Linked DNA regions of Macaca mulatta. The protein of the gene in region 1 interacts with the protein of each later gene in a pairwise test. Links are inferred from orthologs where the notes say so. Each region holds a gene or a part of one and is shown in the gene's direction. Other genes may lie near its edges. The genes, in order: TARBP2, ZNF346 and TCEANC.

Region 1 (5,609 bases):
AAGGGAGGTGGAGAAACAAGAGGGAAAAAAGACCAAAGAATGAAGAAACCAAAGGACAAGGGCTCTATCCTGAATGATCTTTAGCCTCCTCTGGAATCTGGTCACTGTCGCAGTCTCCTCACCTTCCCCACACACACATATGACCCCAGTGCTTCTGGGAGCCAATGAACCGGACAGACTAGTCTCTGTGGCCAGGCCCTCATGAAGCCCCTATGTCCCCTGCTGGCATCATCTCAACAGTATCCTCCTCCTTCCCAGCATCACCTCAGTCAACAGTGTGAGTGAGTGGATGAGTGGCGGGCATGAGGGGCAGACATTTCCACCTCACTGGAAGAAGCATGGCAGCTGGGGGTCCCAGGGCTTGACTGGTATAGGGCTGAGGACCTGAATGTAGGGGTGATCTCCAGTCCACCCTAGCAAGGACTTCTTACGGGGCTGATTCTCTCATTCCTTCTTTCTCTCCAGATCCAGGCAGGGGAGAGGGAGGACTGTGGATTACAACAGTCTGGGCCGTGAGTGGCAGAACCAAGGGTCCTCTTCCTAGAAAAGCCTGATCCTACCATATTGTCACCACCAGGGGAAGAGCAATTGGTTTTTTTTTTTTTTTTTTTTTTTTTTTTTGAGACGGAGTCTCGCTCTGTCACCCAGGCTGGAGTGCAGTGGCCGGATCTCAGCTCACTGCAAGCTCCGCCTCCCGGGTTCACGCCATTCTCCTGCCTCAGCCTCCCGAGTAGCTGGGACTACAGGCGCCTGCCACCTCGCCCGGCTAAGTTTTTGTATTTTTAGTAGAGACGGGGTTTCACTGTGTTAGCCAGGATGGTCTCGATCTCCTGACCTTGTGATCCGCCCGTCTCAGCCTCCCAAAGTGCTGGGATTACAGGCTTGAGCCACCGCGCCCGGCGCAATTGGTTTTTAGAAGGGTTCTGCCCTCTTCAGCTATAAGAAAGCCTAGGAAATCCTGAGCCACATCTAACTTCTTGCCTCCTCTGTCTGTAACTGGGATGGGTATTTAGCTGGTGGTCTACATGTTGAGAGCTGGGGTTTTCCCAACATTACCCCAGTTGACAATGGGAGTGAGTGGATGAATGGTATGCTTGAGGGGACACACATGTTTTTTTCACCCGTGTGAGATAGGAGGGAGTGGGGCCCTAAAGCTCAGAGAAACTTCAGTGTCTGGACAGGAAGGCTCAGGGGGCACTTGAGTCCTTTCCTTCCTAAATCCTTTCTGTTAGCCTTGGCTTGGTATGACCCTCTGGCTGAAACTCAGAGCTCCTAGAGCAATGGAGTCCACCTTGAGAACTGCAAGGGAAATGTGTTTAGAGGGATGCACTGACTGTGGCTTGAGACGACTCTGGGTGGGGTAAGGAGACCTCATGTGCACTCCCTCCTGATTGGAGGCCACTCACCTATGCTCCTCTGAAAAAGGCAGCAGATGAGCATCTACAAGGTAGGACTCCTCCCTTAATTCTAAGGGACACCTCACTGTTTCCTCCCACTGTCTACAGAGCCTTGACTCTTCCCTCCTCTCAGTCAAGGCCTTGGTTACCAGCAAGTCTCAACTCTTGCTTATTTTTAAGCCAATGAGTTTGAGGAGTGTTTGTGGGAAAGGGAGGAGGTTTTTGGAGGGTTTGACTGGGGGAGACGGGTTAGGGGAGCCAGAGGAGATGGAGAGAAAGAGGAGGGAGAAACCCACACGTGAATGGGGGAGGGGAGGATGCAACAGCTGGATGGAGGTGAATGCCACAGCTGGAGGGGATTAGGAGGATCACAGCTGGAAGGGGAGGGGACCAACGCCTGGGCATCTAGGAACAGGTGCTCTCTGACTAATCTTCAGGTCCAGCCTGCTAAGTGTGTGTGTGTGTGTGTGTGTGTGTGTCTGTGTGTGTGTGGAGGGAGATGTGGGTACATCAGTCCTTGCCCTTCCTTTCCTTCCCTGGAGGGGGCCAAAACTCTCCCTCCTCCTTCCCTCTCTCCCTTCCTGAGGATGAGTGGGAGGAGATGTTCTCTTGCCCTCTGTCCTTTAAGTCTGTCCCCCAATCACCCTCCACCCCACCCCAATACGGTCCTTTCCAGCTCTGGAGGCCCTTCGTCTCCAAGCTGGGCCGCGGCATCTCTCCGCTCCATTCCCTTCCTTCCCAGCCCCACACGCGTCGGGTCCAGGTCCCCAGTTCCTCCATCCCCACAGCTTCAGCATCCCCACACCACCACCCGCACCAGGCCACATCTGCATCCCGACCCTCCCTCCACGCCCGGATCCCAGGACCCGGACCCATCCCTGCCCCCCACCCCCCCACAACTCGGCCAGGCTCTCACCTCGGGGGCTCCGCGGCCGCAGCACAAAAGGCGGCGCTGCTGCAGCTCCGCTCCGGATGCTGCTCCCGCCTCCTCCTCCTTCTCCTCCTCCTTCCCTCCTCCCCCCGCTGCCCTCCACCGGACCCGGGGCGCTGTCACAGGCGATGCTCGTGCGGTGTCCGGATGCACGGGTGTCAGCTTCAGCTTGCTGCCCCCACCCCCCGACCCCTAGCCCCGTCCCTGCTCGGCTTGAACTCCCGCTCCTTCCAGGGCCCCCGCCCCTGGCCCCCCGGGACGGACACGCCCTGAGCGGGGGATGCTGCGATGGAGCCGCCGGCCTCTTAAAGGAGCCCGCTGCTGCCATCCGGCGCGCTCCACTCTCGTCCCTGGCCCGCCTGGGCCCCGCGCTTCCCTGCTGGCGGTGTCCTATGGAGGTCCCACCTCAGGCCTTAGGCTGATTCCACAGGAACCCCCTATGACTCGTCTTATAGACTCCTTTCTACATCGGAGAGAGCAGCCCCTCAGTTGGGATCCCTAGCGCTCTGGCATTGCTCCCCCTATCATACTGATCTTGCCAGCTCTCCTTCCCTTGATTGTCACCGCTCACTCTAATTTCACCCACTTGGAATTCACTCGACTCTAGGCCCCATCCTCCTCCAGTGTTCCTGGATGACCCCTCATTATCATTTAAAGATTCCTCTGGACCTCCAGCCCCGCCTCAGAGTAAGACATCTCTTTCTTGACCCCTTCTCAGAACACTCATTAGAACCTTTATTTATTTATTTATTTTTAAAAAATGTGATATCTCCCTTTCTCCAAGGTCACAAGATTTCCCTTAGCCCAGTGGTTGTGCGACTTTGGGGGAGGAGGCAATGGGGCTCTAGGACTAAAAAATTTGCGTCTGCTCAACACCCAGATCAGTTGATTAGTCTTAGGCGGCCAAAATTCACTCTTGCTTTCTTCAGCTGAGAGACCCAAGACTCATGGCAGAGGGAACGAGACCACCAGGTGCCTAGTCCTTCTAATCCTGTCGCCCCACACCACAGCCTGATTATCAGGCCCCAGAGATTTCCTTGCCAGTTAGAGAGGTTCACTAGAGCCGTTCTAAAAAGGTTTTACAAAAGAAGCAAAACCTGAAGGAGGTGAAGGACAACCTAGGAAGAGGAAGCAAGTTCTGTGTCACGGAGGCCCAAGGGCCAGGGGCTTAGGCTGTGGGTTGAGGGGACTGTCTGAGACTGACTTGGATCTGCACCAGCTCCAGAGCCCTGCGTAGACAGACATCGGTCCCCTCCGGCGTCTAGGTAAAGCCCACCCTCTCAGACCTCAAAGAGCCCGGATCCGACAGCAACCTCTCCGGACCAATCACAACCTTCCTTCACCAAGGAGGCGGGGTCAGGGGGCTGACTTTTCCTTGTCCCCGCCCCTTTGGTCGAAGTAACCAATTCCAATGTGCCTAGAGGAAGTAAACGCAATGGGAGTAACCAATGACAACATGAAGCTTCTCGTGCGTGCTTGACCCTGCCCCTCCAGCTGCGGCAAAGATGGCGCGCGGGCTCCTGGGTTCTGTAGTTTTCTCGGGATCCAAAAGGCTCCGTGCCCAAGTGAGTCCTTACCGCCCCGCTACCCAGCGGCTTCCCCTCCGCTAGTACGCATGTCCACAGCCTCACGGCCCGGGAGAGAGGGGGCGCGGAAGGAAGGAGGCGGGACGGTATTACAAACAAAAAAATACAGCCTTCTCGAGAAGCGACTGCGGAGAGCCCGCTCCTCCCAGAAGGCGGTGCAGCCGGCCCGGGCGAGCCACGCGGAGGGTTGTGGGGCGGATAGCTCCCCTCCAGATGGAGGCTCATGAAGTAGGGTGGGCGGGGGACTCCATATCCCAGCGTGCCCCTCGGCGGGCCCTACCGGCCGCGACTCCGGGCTTGGCCCCGGCCCTAGCTCGTCGGCGGTGTATTGGGGCGCGTGGAGGCTGCAGTCACGGTGGCGCCCGCGGGGACGGAGGAGGGAATGAGTGAAGAGGAGCAAGGCTCCGGCATTACCACGGGCTGCGGGCTGCCTAGGTGAGCCGCCTCGTACCGATTCCTTCTGGGCAAAAAGCGTGGGGCCGTGCGGAGGGAGTAGCGGCGCGGCCCCAGCATGCACCTGGCCTGAGGGTTGTTCCCGGCAAGCACTGGGGCAGTGGGCAGTGGTTCCCGGCGTGCACCGGGGCAGTGGCTGCTGCCTTCAGCTCTAAATAGTTTGGGGTTGGCCCGGTTCCCAGACTGCACTGGAACACTGGGCTTTATGCCCCCACATTCAGTGCATTTGGTGGGTACTGGGTTCCTGGCTTGCACTGTGTCAGGGGGTATGCACTTTCAACCTGCATGGGGCACAGGATCGTGCCCACCTTAACTGAGGCAGGAGCAGTGCATTCTTCCCCCCTTGCTTTGAGGTAGTGGGCCCTACTCTTCCAGCCTGCACCTACACTTGGAACCCAGCCAATGGATGCTAGACTGCCTGGGGTTCCTTGGACCCTATGTCCCCCATAATGTGCCTAGGTCTGGTATGGAAGTGCTTGGCCAGGTGGGTGCAGAGAGGGGAGGTGTGATATGGGTCTGTGCCCCTTCCCCCAGTATAGAGCAAATGCTGGCCGCCAACCCAGGCAAGACCCCGATCAGCCTTCTGCAGGAGTATGGGACCAGAATAGGGAAGACGCCTGTGTACGACCTTCTCAAAGCCGAGGGCCAAGCCCACCAGCCTAATTTCACCTTCCGGGTCACCGTTGGCGACACCAGCTGCACTGGTGAGGAAGGCTTGGGCAGCCTGGCTGGGGTGTGCATTTGCAGGTCCCCATGACTTTGTTTCTTGGAGTCTCTTTCTTCACAGTCCTTTTCTTCAAGGCCAGTGAGGGAAGGAGAGATTTCAGGGGAAAAGCTACTGACTGGATTGGGAGAACAGGGCTGTGAGAAGGTGGGTAGGACGTGGGAGAGTTAGAGGATCGATCAGGACTGCCACATCACCCTAGAGGAAAAGGAAGAGAAGATAACTGAAATCCCAGTGGAGTATTTGGGGGAGTGAGTGCCTGGCATGCTGGGCTCTGTTCCCGGTGCTTAACCAAATTCCCATTTAATTTTAAACCTCAGTCTAACCAGTGATGTAGGTGGCAGTATCCCCCCCCACTCCTCCCCCCGCCCGCCCATGTTGAATATGAGGAAACTGAGTATTTGAGATAGTAAATGGCTGGTGCATGGTCACATGCCTAGTGTGTGGCGGAGTGGGGCTTTTACTCCAGAGCCTACCCTCTCTTATTCCAGCTCTCTGTTTTTATTGAGGGAAAAGAA
Region 2 (5,932 bases), on another chromosome or scaffold:
ACTTGTAGTATAAATGACTAAATTACACCAATGAGCTATATGATCTCAAGCAAAAATAATTCATATCTGTCTCTCTTTGGCCTCGTCTGATACTACTTTCCCCCTTGTTCACTGGGCTCCAGCCATGCTTTCCTTTTTCCTGTTCCTCCAACACATCAAGCTCTCTCCTGCCTCAGGGCCTTTTTACCTGCTGTTCTCTCTGCTAGAACACTCTTGCCCAGCTTTTTGCATGGCTACCCCTTCTCATTAATCAGGTCTTAGCTCAAATGTCATTTTCCCAGAGGCTTCCCCTGACACCACCCTGACTAATGTTCCTAACACATCATTCACCTGAGATATATTCCTGTTTTATCTTCTCCTTAGCACTTATTACTGTTAACCTTTTTTTTTTTTTCTTTTTTTGAGACAGAGTCTCACTCTGTTGCCCAGGATGGAGTGCAGTGGTGCGATCTCGGCTCACTGCAAGCTCCGCCTCGCGGGTTCATGCCATTTTCCTCCCTCAGCCTCCCGAGTAGCTGGGACTACAGGCGCCTGCCACCACGCCTGGCTAATTTTTCTGTATTTTTAGTAAGGATAAGGTTTCACCGTGTTAGCCAGGATGGTCTCGATCTCCTGACCTCATGATCCGCCTGCCTTGGCCTCCCAAAGTGCTGGGATTACAGGCGTGAGCCACCGCGCCCGGCCTACTGTTAACTTTTTTATTGTAGTCTCCTCCACTACAATAAAAAATACTAGAGTTTCCCTGTCTTGTTCACTACTATATTTCCATGCTCAAAATATCATCTAGCTCATAGTAAATTCTCCGTATTTGAACAAATAAGGTTGAAATAAGCTAGTAATATTAAAAACTTCATTCATTAAACAAATATTTTGTATGTACCTAGGAGGGTCCAGGTTCTATTTCAAAGTGCTGGAGATTCAGGTACAATGAAAAGAGACAAAAGGCTGGGCGCGGTGACATGTGCCTGTAATCCCAGCACTTCGGGAGGCTGAGGTGGGACGATTACGAGGTCAGGAGTTCGAGATCAGCCTAGCTAACATAGTGAAACCCTGTCTTTACCAAAAATACAAAAATTAGCTGGATGCAGTGGCATGTACCTGTAATCCCAGCTACACGGGAGGCTGAAGCAGGAGAATTGCTTGAACCCGGGAGGCGGAAGTTGCAGTGAGCCGAGATCGCATCACTGCACTCCAACGTGGCGACAGAGCAAAACTCCGTCTCAAAAAAAAAAAAGAAAAAGAAAAGAAAATAGACAAAAATCCCTGCCTTCCTGGGGCTTGCCTTCTAGTAGGTAGACAGACAATAAACAAGATAAAAAGTAAAATATATATGAAATAAAGCAGGAAAGGAGGACATGAAGTATGTGTGGAAAAGTAACATTTTAGATGATAGCCAGAGAAGGTATTTTAGATACAGTAGCCAGAGAAGGAAGTGGGAGACTGAGCCATGAAGATATATGGGAGAAATGCACCCCAGGAGGCCTGTGTAACCGGGACAGGAATTAAGGAGTTGGAGACTGAGTGATACATCAGGATCAGGGAGGTTAAGTGAAGTCAGATTGTACAGGGCCTTGTTGGTCAAAGTAAGGACTTTGGCTTTTACTAACAGTGAGATGGGAAGCTGTTGGAGGATTTGAGAACCTAAGTGTCATGATCTGACTTGTCATAAGAGGATCCCTGGGACTGCTGTGCTGTGAATACCAATGAGGTGGCTACTACAATAACCTAGGCAAGAGATGATGGCTCCCAAAGACACGGGAAGGAGCAGCTCTGGGGTTGGAAAATAAAATTTGGGGTCTGACAGCTACATTGGAGAAGCCTATTAGCCATTCGAGTGAACTGTGGAAGAGGCAACTGGATGTGTACAGGTCCGGAGTCTCAGGGAAAATCAGAGCTGGGAGCCGGCACTTGGAACTCAACAAGTAGAATCTATTATTAGTAATACGGAACCTCAGCTGTACTACTACTTACTAGCAGCGAACTGTTGAGTTAACCATTTCTAGGTTCTGGGCCTCAGTTTCCCTGTAAATGAAATGGCGAAAACACTCCCACATAACGGAACCTTGAGAACGAAATGAAAAGTATCAAGGGCTGACCGTGAGGAAGGTGAGAGTCCTGAGCCAAAACCGTACTAGCCTCTCCGGGAGGGGGTGTCACTGCTGCGGAATCAGCGACAGGTTTCCGAATCCACACCACACGCTGGGGGTACCAGAGGTAGCAAAGCAAAATAAGCGCCAGGTACCGCACGGCAGCGCCCAAACCTCGCGAGATTTGTTGGCCGGACCAAGTACCACTCCCCCAATCTCGCGATATTTAGGCGCCTGAGCGGCTCTCCACCGGCGAGGGTTTGCGGGGAAGATGGCGTATCCCGCGCCGGCCACAGTGGAGGCCGCAGACGGCGGAGGGGCCGGGCGTTACAACAGCTCGGAGGAGCTAGAGGGCCAGGAGCCGGATGGGGTGCGCTTTGACCGCGAGAGGGCGCGCCGCCTGTGGGAAGCCGTGTCCGGTGCCCAGCCGGTGGGTAGGGAGGAAGGTGAGTCGGGGGCTTTGGAGGCAGGAAGCCCCTCACCCGCCTGCGCGGCTCGCGGGGAGCTGCGGAAGCGCCTGCGGTCACACCCCCCTGGCCCGCCTCCTTGCGTGCTGCGCTCCGGGACCCCCAGACTTGTGCTCCCCATTCAGGCGCGGGCACCCCAAGAATCGGGCCCCCAGCGCGCTGAGGGTGATCACGGCCGCTCACGCTCAGGCCCAGAGCTTTTCCCCTCCTCCTTCATCAGTCACTACAGCGCAGTTTTTCCCGAATTCGAAGATCGTCATCCCTATGCTTGTCGGAGACCCACAGTCTTTGCCATCCCCGTAATTCAGGCCGAGTGCCCCTCGCCACTCCTTGACTCCTCATCGTCCCAATCTCCAGATTTCCTCGTAGAGCCTCTTGCCTCCCTTCTGTCAGGCCTCACACTTCCGAGGGCTCTGGAAGGCCTTCTCCTTACCCCCGGGTTCCTCCTGGTCTTGGTGACTGAGCCGTGGCTTACCCGTTTTTAGCTCTCTGGCTTCTACTTGCTGGGTTCCTTATTCTAAGGTGGGGACAAGGAGACTGAGAAACTGGTCTGGGTTCGCTTTGACTCCAGCTTCTTTGTGTTCTACACTTGACCCAAAGTTGCTGAGAACAGTATAAGCAAAGCCACGTCAGGGGTCACTTCTGGGCCGAAGTGTGCCAGCTTGCTGCGCACTTGACCTGAGACTGGGTAAGATGGGATGAAAGAAAGAGAAGGATGGGAAAGAGCTGTTCTGACCTTCTTGTGTGACTCCCTTCACCGTCCTTTACAGAGCCAGCTGCTTAATGCTAACCCAAGTGTCCAAGAACTCTATCTGGGCTTCTCTGCTAACCCTGTCAGGTATCTGGAGGGAAATCAGATTTCTCCAGTGATTTGTTTGCTTGCTGAGCAGACTTGTCATGGAAAGTTTAATATGCTATTTGTCAACTGACTGCCCTGGATAAAATTGAAATTTGGACCATATCTAAGGAACATATGTTTAAATTAGGGGTGATACACAGACCTATACCCTGGTATATAATTCTCCAATTTAAAAACAAGTCTAGCCTGTCTCCTAAGTTTATATATATATATATTAAAAAGAAAGGCAGGGCCCCAGAAATGGTATGTGTGTGTATGTGTATATGTGTGTGTATATTTACATATATGTGTATATATAAATATATACACACATACCATTTCTGGGACCCTCTCTCCTTTTTCTTTTTCCTTTTTTTTTTTTTGAGAGAGTCTCCCTCTGTCACCCAGGTTGGAGTGCAGTGGCACAATCCCACCGCAACCTCTGCCTCCCAGGTTCAAGCAGTTCTATGCTGCCCCAGCCCCCGGAGTAGCTGGGATTACAGGTGACCACCATCATGCTCAGCTGATTTTTGTATTTTTAGTAGAGATGGGGTTTGACCATGTTGGCCAGGCTGTTCTCGAACTCCTGACCTCAAGTGATCTGCCTTCCTTGACCTCCCAAAGTGCTGGGATCACAGGCATGAGCCACCACACCCGGCTCTCCTACTTTCAAACTTGTTTGGTAGTTTCCTTGCTCTACCCCAATTTTCCTTTCATTAATTTGACAAACATTCACAGATGTCTGCTCTCGACCCAGAATTGGTTGAGCTTCAGAGCTGGAGTATCAGAGAAAGATATTGTCCTTTCCCTGGAAAGGCTTGCAGTCTAGTCCAGGAAGCAGACACTAAAACAGTTCCAGTGTAATGTAAAGGATGCAGTGCTGAGGAATGTTTTAAGAGTTGGAGGTGCACAAAAGGTGACCTTTGCCCTAGATCTTGAAGCAGAAAACCACTGTGCTCTAAAAAGTGAACTGTCTGCTATGTGTATGTGAGTGTACAGTGGCACTGTTACGACCCATTTCATTTCCCTGTTCTCCTCACTTCTCGCACATTTATATGAAATCTAAGTAGACACCTGCAACATTAAGTTCTACTCACTCTTTTTCTTCTCTTAGCACCTTCATTGAGTTACAGTTTATATACCATACAAGTCGCCCATTGTAAGCATATCGCCAATGATTGTTAGCCAATGTACAGTTGTATAGCCATTACCACAGTCCAGTTTTAGAACATTTCCATCACCCCAATTAGTTCCTTTGAGCTTACTTATATTAAATCCCCACTCCCACCTCCTGCCCTAGGCAACCAGTGATCTGTTTTCTGTCTTGGGTAGTCTTTTGAGTTTGGCTTCTCTCGGCATGTTTTTGAAGGTCAGCCAAGTCATGGTGTGTATTAGTACTTCATTTTTATTGCTAAATAGAATTCCATTGAATGAATATAACACATTCTATTAATCTGTTCATTATTTCTAGACATTTGGATTGTTTCCAGTTTGGAGTTTTTGTGAATAGTGCTGCTGCGAACATTCATGCCCAAGTTTTTGTGTGAACATACGTTTCATTTCTTGAGTATATCCCTAAGAATGGAATTGCTGGGTCATATCGTAACTCTAACATTTTGAAGAACTGCCAAACTTTTCCAAAATGGCTTCACCTTTTATATTTCTGCCTTCAATGTATGAGGGTTTTGCTTTTTCTATAACCTTGACAACACTTGTCTTTTTTGATTATAGGCATTCTAGTGGGCATGTAGTGATATCTCATTGTGGTTTCCTAAAGACTGATAATACTGAGCACCTTTTCATGGGCTAACTACCCATTTGTAGATCTTTGGTGAAATATCTATTGATATCATTTGCCTATTTTGTAATTGGGCTGTTTGTCTTCTACTGAGTTGTAAGAGTTGTCTGTGTGTTCTGGGTACAAGTCTTTTATTATAGATACGGTTTCCAAAGATTCCCCCCGACTGACTTGTGTTTTCATTTTCTAAACAGTGCCTTTTGAAGCACAAAAGTTTTAAGTTTTGATGAAATTAAATTTATCAGTTTTTTATCCTATGTATTGTGCTTGTAGTGTCATATCTAATAACTCTTTATCTTAACCCAAGATTTGAGAAATTTTCTCTTATAGATCTTCTTAATTTTTTTTTTTTTTTTGAGACGCAGTCTCACCGTTACCCAGGCTGGAGTGCAGACGGAATCCCACTCTGTCGCCCATGCTAGAGTGTGGTGGCATGATCTCAGTTCACTGCAGCCTCCCTGTCCCAGATTCAAGTGATTCTTGAGCCTCAGCCTCCTAAGTAGCTGTGATTACAGGAGGGAGCTTCCATACCCAGCTAATTTTTTTGTATTTTCAGTAGAGACAGAGTTTCACCGTGTTGGCCAGGCTGGTTTTGAACTCCTGACCTCAGGTGATCCACCAGCCTCGGCCTCCCAAAGTGTTGGGATTCCAGGTGTGAGCCACCACACCCAGTTGGTAATATTTCTTTTTACAGTATTTTATAGAAGTGTTGATCTACAAGGAAGAGGCTAACACACAAAAT
Region 3 (5,780 bases), on another chromosome or scaffold:
TGACAGAAAAAATTTGTGTGGGATGTACTACCAAAAGCAGGAGCCAGCAGTCAACCAGAGGGTACAGCATCTGAACCATGGAATGGGTAAGAAGAGGCTACCAGCAAAGGGAGGGTCCTCCAAAAGATCTCCAAAGTGGGCACCTCCAAAGAACAAAAGTGGTACTAGGTTGGTTTAAGCAGTCTGTGGCCCACCAGCCAGGCACTGCCTGACCCATGGAACTAGCTCTTCTGGGAGCCTCTGGGGATGTTCACTGGAGATACCATGTTTGCTGCTTCTCTGTCATTTCACCTGCATAAGTCTGAGAAATATGTTGCAGAACTTAAACATAAGGTTTCTGTTTCTATAATGTATGACTTTTTGTTCTATTTCCTAATATTCTGTAACTCCTGAGATTTCAAGGGAACTGTTCATTGTTTTAATCCTATGCCTTCCATACTGTGACTTATAAGAACATCCCCAGTTAAGCCCAGTGTCTGGTCCTGGTGTTTTATCAGGAAATGAACACCGGCCGGCACCTCAGAACCCAGAAAGAGGCAGTTTCTCTGACCTCATTCCATGGAAAACATCTGTAACTGTTCCCTCAGCAATGTGTAACATTAGCCTCTGGAGAAGGCCCATAAAGGATTTTGCCTCTCTTCCTTGGGAATTCGCAGGAAAGGGCTGTCTGCATGAGCTCAGAATATCTGTTAATATATTGCTACTCAGAGACTTAATAAGGATTGAAAAGAGGTTTCCGCTGCACTAAGGGAAATTTATCAAAGAGAATTCCAGAGTATTGAAGCAGCTGAAAGATGATTTTAAAACAAAGGCCTGAAAACTATGCATGATAAATTATCACAGATGTGAGTACTTTTATAAGTATTCCATTTTTAAATTGCCCAAAAGAACCAACTTTTCAGCAACCTCTTTAGAATCCATTGGCAGCCCTAGATTCATTCCAGATGAACTGGGCCAGAAATTTCTACAGCAAAGGTCAGGGAGGTCCATTCACTGACCTCCCTTCCTTGCTCCTTGGCTATAAATTCTCACTTTTCCATGCCACATTTGAAGTTGAGCCCAATCTCTCTTCCCCACTGCAAGACCCTGTTGCAGTGGTCCCTATGTCTACCTCAATGGTCCTGAATAAAGTCTTCCTTACCATGCTTTAACAAGTGACAAGTGTCATTAAATAATTTTCTTTTCTTTTCTTTTTTTTTTTTTTAGACAAAGTCTTGCTCTGTCGCTAGGCTGGAGTGCAGGGCACGATCTCAGCTCACTGCAACCTCCGCCTCCTGGGTTCAAGCGATTCTCTGCCTCAGCCTCCCAAGTAGCTGGGATTACAGGCACGTGCCACCACGCCCGGCTAATTTTTTGTATTTTTAGTAGAGACGGGGTTTCACCGTGTTAGCCAGGATGGTCTTGAGCTCCTGACCTTGTGATCCGCCTGCCTCAGCCTCCCAAAGTGCTGGGGTTACAGGCGTGAGCCACCACGCCCAGCCAAATAATTTTTTCTTCAACAAGGTATTATATAATTCTTAAGTGAAAATTGCATTACAATTTACAATGGCAAACATTTTAGCCCTGTAATAGACAGCAAGATAAAAGTAACCCCTGACAGCTCTGAGCTGACCCGGCAGTCACAGCTGGGCCTTGGTGCTCCGTGGAACATAAATACTTCACAGAACACCATCAGACGTGACCACTCTTTGACCGGATGGATCAAGACAAAAACAAGACTCCTTTGTAATCACGTGGGAATGCTGAAAAAACATAAACATTGTCCAAACCACAAAAATGACCAAACATCCCCTATCCCAGTTAATGAGTTACTGGTCTTGTCTCCCCTCCTTTTAGGTAAGTTAATGAGTCACTGGTCTTGTCTCCCCTCCTTTTAGGTAAGATTTATTATGATACTTAATCATACAATCGCCCTCCTTTCTGCCAGCACCCAGTCCAGAGTATTGGATTGGATAATCTGCTTCCCTGAACCTTTCCCCAAATTACTTTGGAGTAAGGCATCAGCATAGGAGGCTGTCACATTCGTTCAACCATCACTGTGCTTTTACTGGCCCTTTGCAGGCAAAGAATGAGAATGTGCACAGATGAGAAGTCCAGGATGCACATGACCACTCAATTAACATTTACTACTTTCATATCAACTGTTGCATGCTAGGATGTTAAAAACACTTTTTGAATTAATTACTGCGTTAAATAGATTCACATTTATGTCTACGGTTATGTGAACATCTAGCTGAACACTGTCTTGACTGTCCTGAGTAGAAGCAGAACAGGTAAGTTGTAAAGTACGTCAACAACCTTTGCTGCTAAAAAACGAAAGTGCAGTTTCTTTCTATCGGGCCAGGGGCGGGGCCATAGCTCCTCCTCCAGGAAGCCGCGCGAGCCCAGTCCCACGGCCGCCGCCGTTCGCTCTACGCATGCGCCATTTCCCTAGTGCGCATGCGCCGGGTCCCAGGCCCACGTGCGCCAGCCTGTGGGCTTGGATTGGCTAAGCCTTGAAGTTGTCCCTGTCCCGGTGACCGGAAGTTCTCCGTGGACGCTGGGCGGCTGAAAGCTCCGGAACTGCGCCTGCGCTTTTCAGTGAGTCATGCTTCAGGTTTGCCAGGGCCTGTGTCCCGCAGAAAGGCGAGCCCTTGTTCCCAGCGGAAGCCCACCCCGGCTCGCGGCGGCTTTCCGGTGCGCCCTGGGCGGCGTAGGTCCAAAGGTGCTCTCACCCCCGCCCCTTCCTCTCCGACTGCCGAGGTCGCCAGAGTGGGCTGAACCCTCGGGACTGCAGCTGCTTGTGTGCTGGGTGCTGGGCCGTCATCCCAAGATGATTAGCGGCAGGCTTTGCATGTTGCTCGACCCCACCCACCGGAACTCGAACCCGGGTTAGACCGGGCTGTTGGGCTGGTCTCTTCCTCTCGCTGCACCTTTACTAGGGGTCACCATTAAGGGAAAGGGCCCTAGCGCAGTACTGAGTGGCAGTTAAGTAACCGCTACACCACTGCCAACATTTGGCATCATTTCTCTCCATAGAGGGCGGGGCTCTCTGTGAAGCTGGGGAGCTGTAAGTGGGTTAGGGCTAGAAAGTTACACTTTCTCTTTAGGCTTTAAAGAGATCTAAAGATCTGAACAGATCTAGGTTATTATTGACTTTTTACCAACTTCTGGAAACATTGTTTCCAGAACTTTCCTCTCGTTCTTCTCAGGGTTTAGGCCATTTTTGTGCAGATGTGTGCACCTTGCTTACTATAATATTAGCTAATCTTTGTAAGTTTTTATATGGATCCAATACCATATTTCGTGCCTACTTTTCCTGGCACTGTATAAACTTTTTGGTATAGGTATGCATCTAAGCATTATCCATATTAGCATCAGTTCTAGAACCGTGGTGTCCAATAATGATAGCCATTAGTTACATAAGGCTTGAGCACTTGAAATGTGGCTTGTCCGAATTGAGATGTGCTATAAGTGTAAGACAGTGAAGTTTGGAAAATTAGCATGAAAAAGAATGTAAACTATCTCAATTTGTTTATATTAATCACGTGTTGAGATGACTATTCTGGATATACTGGGTTAAATAAAATGTATAATTTCAATTTTTATTTTTTAACATGACTACTGGAAAATTTTAAATCATATTTGTGGTTTACATGTTATATTTATGTTGCACAGCCCTGCTCTAGAAAAGGGTCAACAAACTATGACCTGCAGCCAAATCTAGCCTGCCTGTTTTTGTAAACAAGTGTTACCAGAACAAGATCATGCCTATCCATTTATGTTATTTTCTGTATCTGCTGTTGCTGCTACAAGAGCAACAGAGTTGAGTAGTCCATAGAGATTGTATGGCCTACAAAGCCTAAAATATGTACCTTCTGATCTTTAACAGAAAAAGTGTGCTGACCCCCTGCTCTAGAACAATGCCTGGTTTGGTAGATATTTTTAAGCCTTTTAATTGTAGACTCACATCCTGTTATTCACACTTACTGTGTGACAGCCATAGTTCAAAGCACTTTATCAAGACTTTCATTTAATTCTCATTAATCCTAGGATGTTGGATTTCTCCCATTTTGTAGATGAGGAAATTGAGGCACAGAATGGTCAGGAAACTTATCCAACTTGCTCAGCACCCCTCATTTCTAGGAACTGGACCTGCTTGACCTTCTTTATGCAAATGTTTTGACCCCCCAACCCCTTTTGATTAGCCCACAGTGGGCACCATGGTTCTGGTGGTGGTGGTTGTTTTGTTTTGTTTTTTTAACAAGATATATTTGAACTAGAATTTTTTGAATTATTTTTTTGAACTAGAATCGAGATGGACTTGGTCTCCTGCGGAAGAAGCCGAGGAGCACTGGGCTTAGGTGCAATGAGTACAAGCAAGCTGGTGTGTAGTGAAAAGAAATGAAGCTCACAAGCAGAGAAGAGAGAGAGCATCCTGTATGCTCATCACTCATTTAACAACAACAAAAATGTGTTAAGTAATAGTAAGCACTGGCTGGGTGTTTGCTAGGTGTGTATAGGTGAATAAAACATGTGGATCTTCTCTTATGGTCTTGTGGGGAAGGCAGTAAAAACGTTTTTTAAATGTGATGAACACCCTGAAAAAAAAACATGCAAATTATTTACTGTTTTTAGCAGGTTTCCTCACCTGTAAGATGAAAATAAGCCATTATCTGTATTTCAGGAATATTGTGAGGATTGAGATGACAGGAGAGTGTATGTCCCAGAGAGTTGCTCAATAAATATATGTTGCCTTCCACTGTGAAGAGGTAAGTGAGGGGGTGAGTATCAGGGATTGTGTACATTATGACATTTAAAATATTACAGTTGTCATGTGTAATTTGTGGAGAAGGTTGTCAGCTGCATTGTTCACAGTAGGTGTTTCAAATCTTTTCTGACTGAATGAGACTCATCTAGAAAAAGCCAAAGTCAGAGTTGTCTGCATTCAGTCCAGGAGCAGAACCAGAGCTGTCTTTGGGGCTGATGGCAGCCTAACTGGGAGGTCCTGCTGGGGTGTGGAGGAGGGTTGTATGCCTGTGTGTGGTTTAAATCAGAGTCACCCTGGAGAGCTGAGCCAGTGTGCAGGCCCTACCCTCAGAGATCCTAATTCATCCTATCTGGAGTGAGGCCCTGCCATTGTTTGTTTTTGTTTTTTGTTGTTTAATTTCCCCCAGATGATTCTAATGTGCAATCAGGGTTAAGAACCACTAATGGTGGGAGATCAGCCAGGCTCAGGATGCTGCTTGAGCAAAGGCACAGAGCTGTGCCCATCAGTGGTTGAGAGTAGTCAAGAGGGAGGCCTGCTACGGCTCTTTTTGCCACTGGCCAAGAAGCTTTGGCTCCATCATGAAAGCAAGGGGAAACCTCTGAAGGGCTTTAAGCAGGAAAATGAGGGAATATCTTGCTGAGATCTGTACTAGAGGATGATCCCTCTAACAAAGTGCCAGACTCACTTTGTGAGTAGAGTGTAGAAGTAGAGTGAAGGCAGTGAAGAAGCAAATTGTAGCTGTCCAGATGATGGAGAGCCCAGATAGGGTTTGGTACCACCCTGTGTGTGTTTTCTCTAGCAGCCAGTGTCTGTCCACGTTGAAATACCACATGTGTTGTAACTGGCCAGTTTCTTGTCAGTATTACTTCCACTAGGCTATCAGCTCCTTCAAGGCAGAGACTGTTTAGGCTCAGCATCTAGCACATACTCTATCCCTAATATATATTTATTGAATGAACTATGTAGAACTAAGCTGGACATATGCCTTACTTTGTCTTTTTATAGCAATTGTCAGAATTTTATATCTCAA

The links.
Region 2: the proteins of TARBP2 (region 1) and ZNF346 interact in binary tests that used the Homo sapiens proteins (3 or more experiments, as listed by UniProt). The two-hybrid records come from large-scale screens. The link is inferred for Macaca mulatta from reciprocal best matches to the Homo sapiens genes TARBP2 and ZNF346.
Region 3: the proteins of TARBP2 (region 1) and TCEANC interact in binary tests that used the Homo sapiens proteins (3 or more experiments, as listed by UniProt). The two-hybrid records come from large-scale screens. The link is inferred for Macaca mulatta from reciprocal best matches to the Homo sapiens genes TARBP2 and TCEANC.

What each region holds. Positions count from the first base shown.
Region 1 is NC_133416.1:60,653,551-60,659,159, forward strand, and holds the start of TARBP2 (RISC-loading complex subunit TARBP2), read left to right. Parts: upstream 1-2,344; 5' UTR 2,345-4,296; coding exon 4,297-4,349; intron 4,350-4,460; exon of another isoform or gene 4,461-4,596; intron 4,597-4,901; coding exon 4,902-5,071; intron 5,072-5,609. UniProt on the Homo sapiens protein: Required for formation of the RNA induced silencing complex (RISC). Component of the RISC loading complex (RLC), also known as the micro-RNA (miRNA) loading complex (miRLC), which is composed of DICER1, AGO2 and TARBP2.
Region 2 is NC_133411.1:185,970,614-185,976,545, forward strand, and holds the start of ZNF346 (zinc finger protein 346), read left to right. Parts: upstream 1-2,315; 5' UTR 2,316-2,358; coding exon 2,359-2,533; intron 2,534-5,932.
Region 3 is NC_133426.1:13,298,605-13,304,384, forward strand, and holds the start of TCEANC (transcription elongation factor A N-terminal and central domain-containing protein), read left to right. Parts: upstream 1-2,460; 5' UTR 2,461-2,580; exon of another isoform or gene 2,581-2,870; intron 2,871-4,290; exon of another isoform or gene 4,291-4,466; intron 4,467-4,666; 5' UTR 4,667-4,728; coding exon 4,729-4,751; intron 4,752-5,780.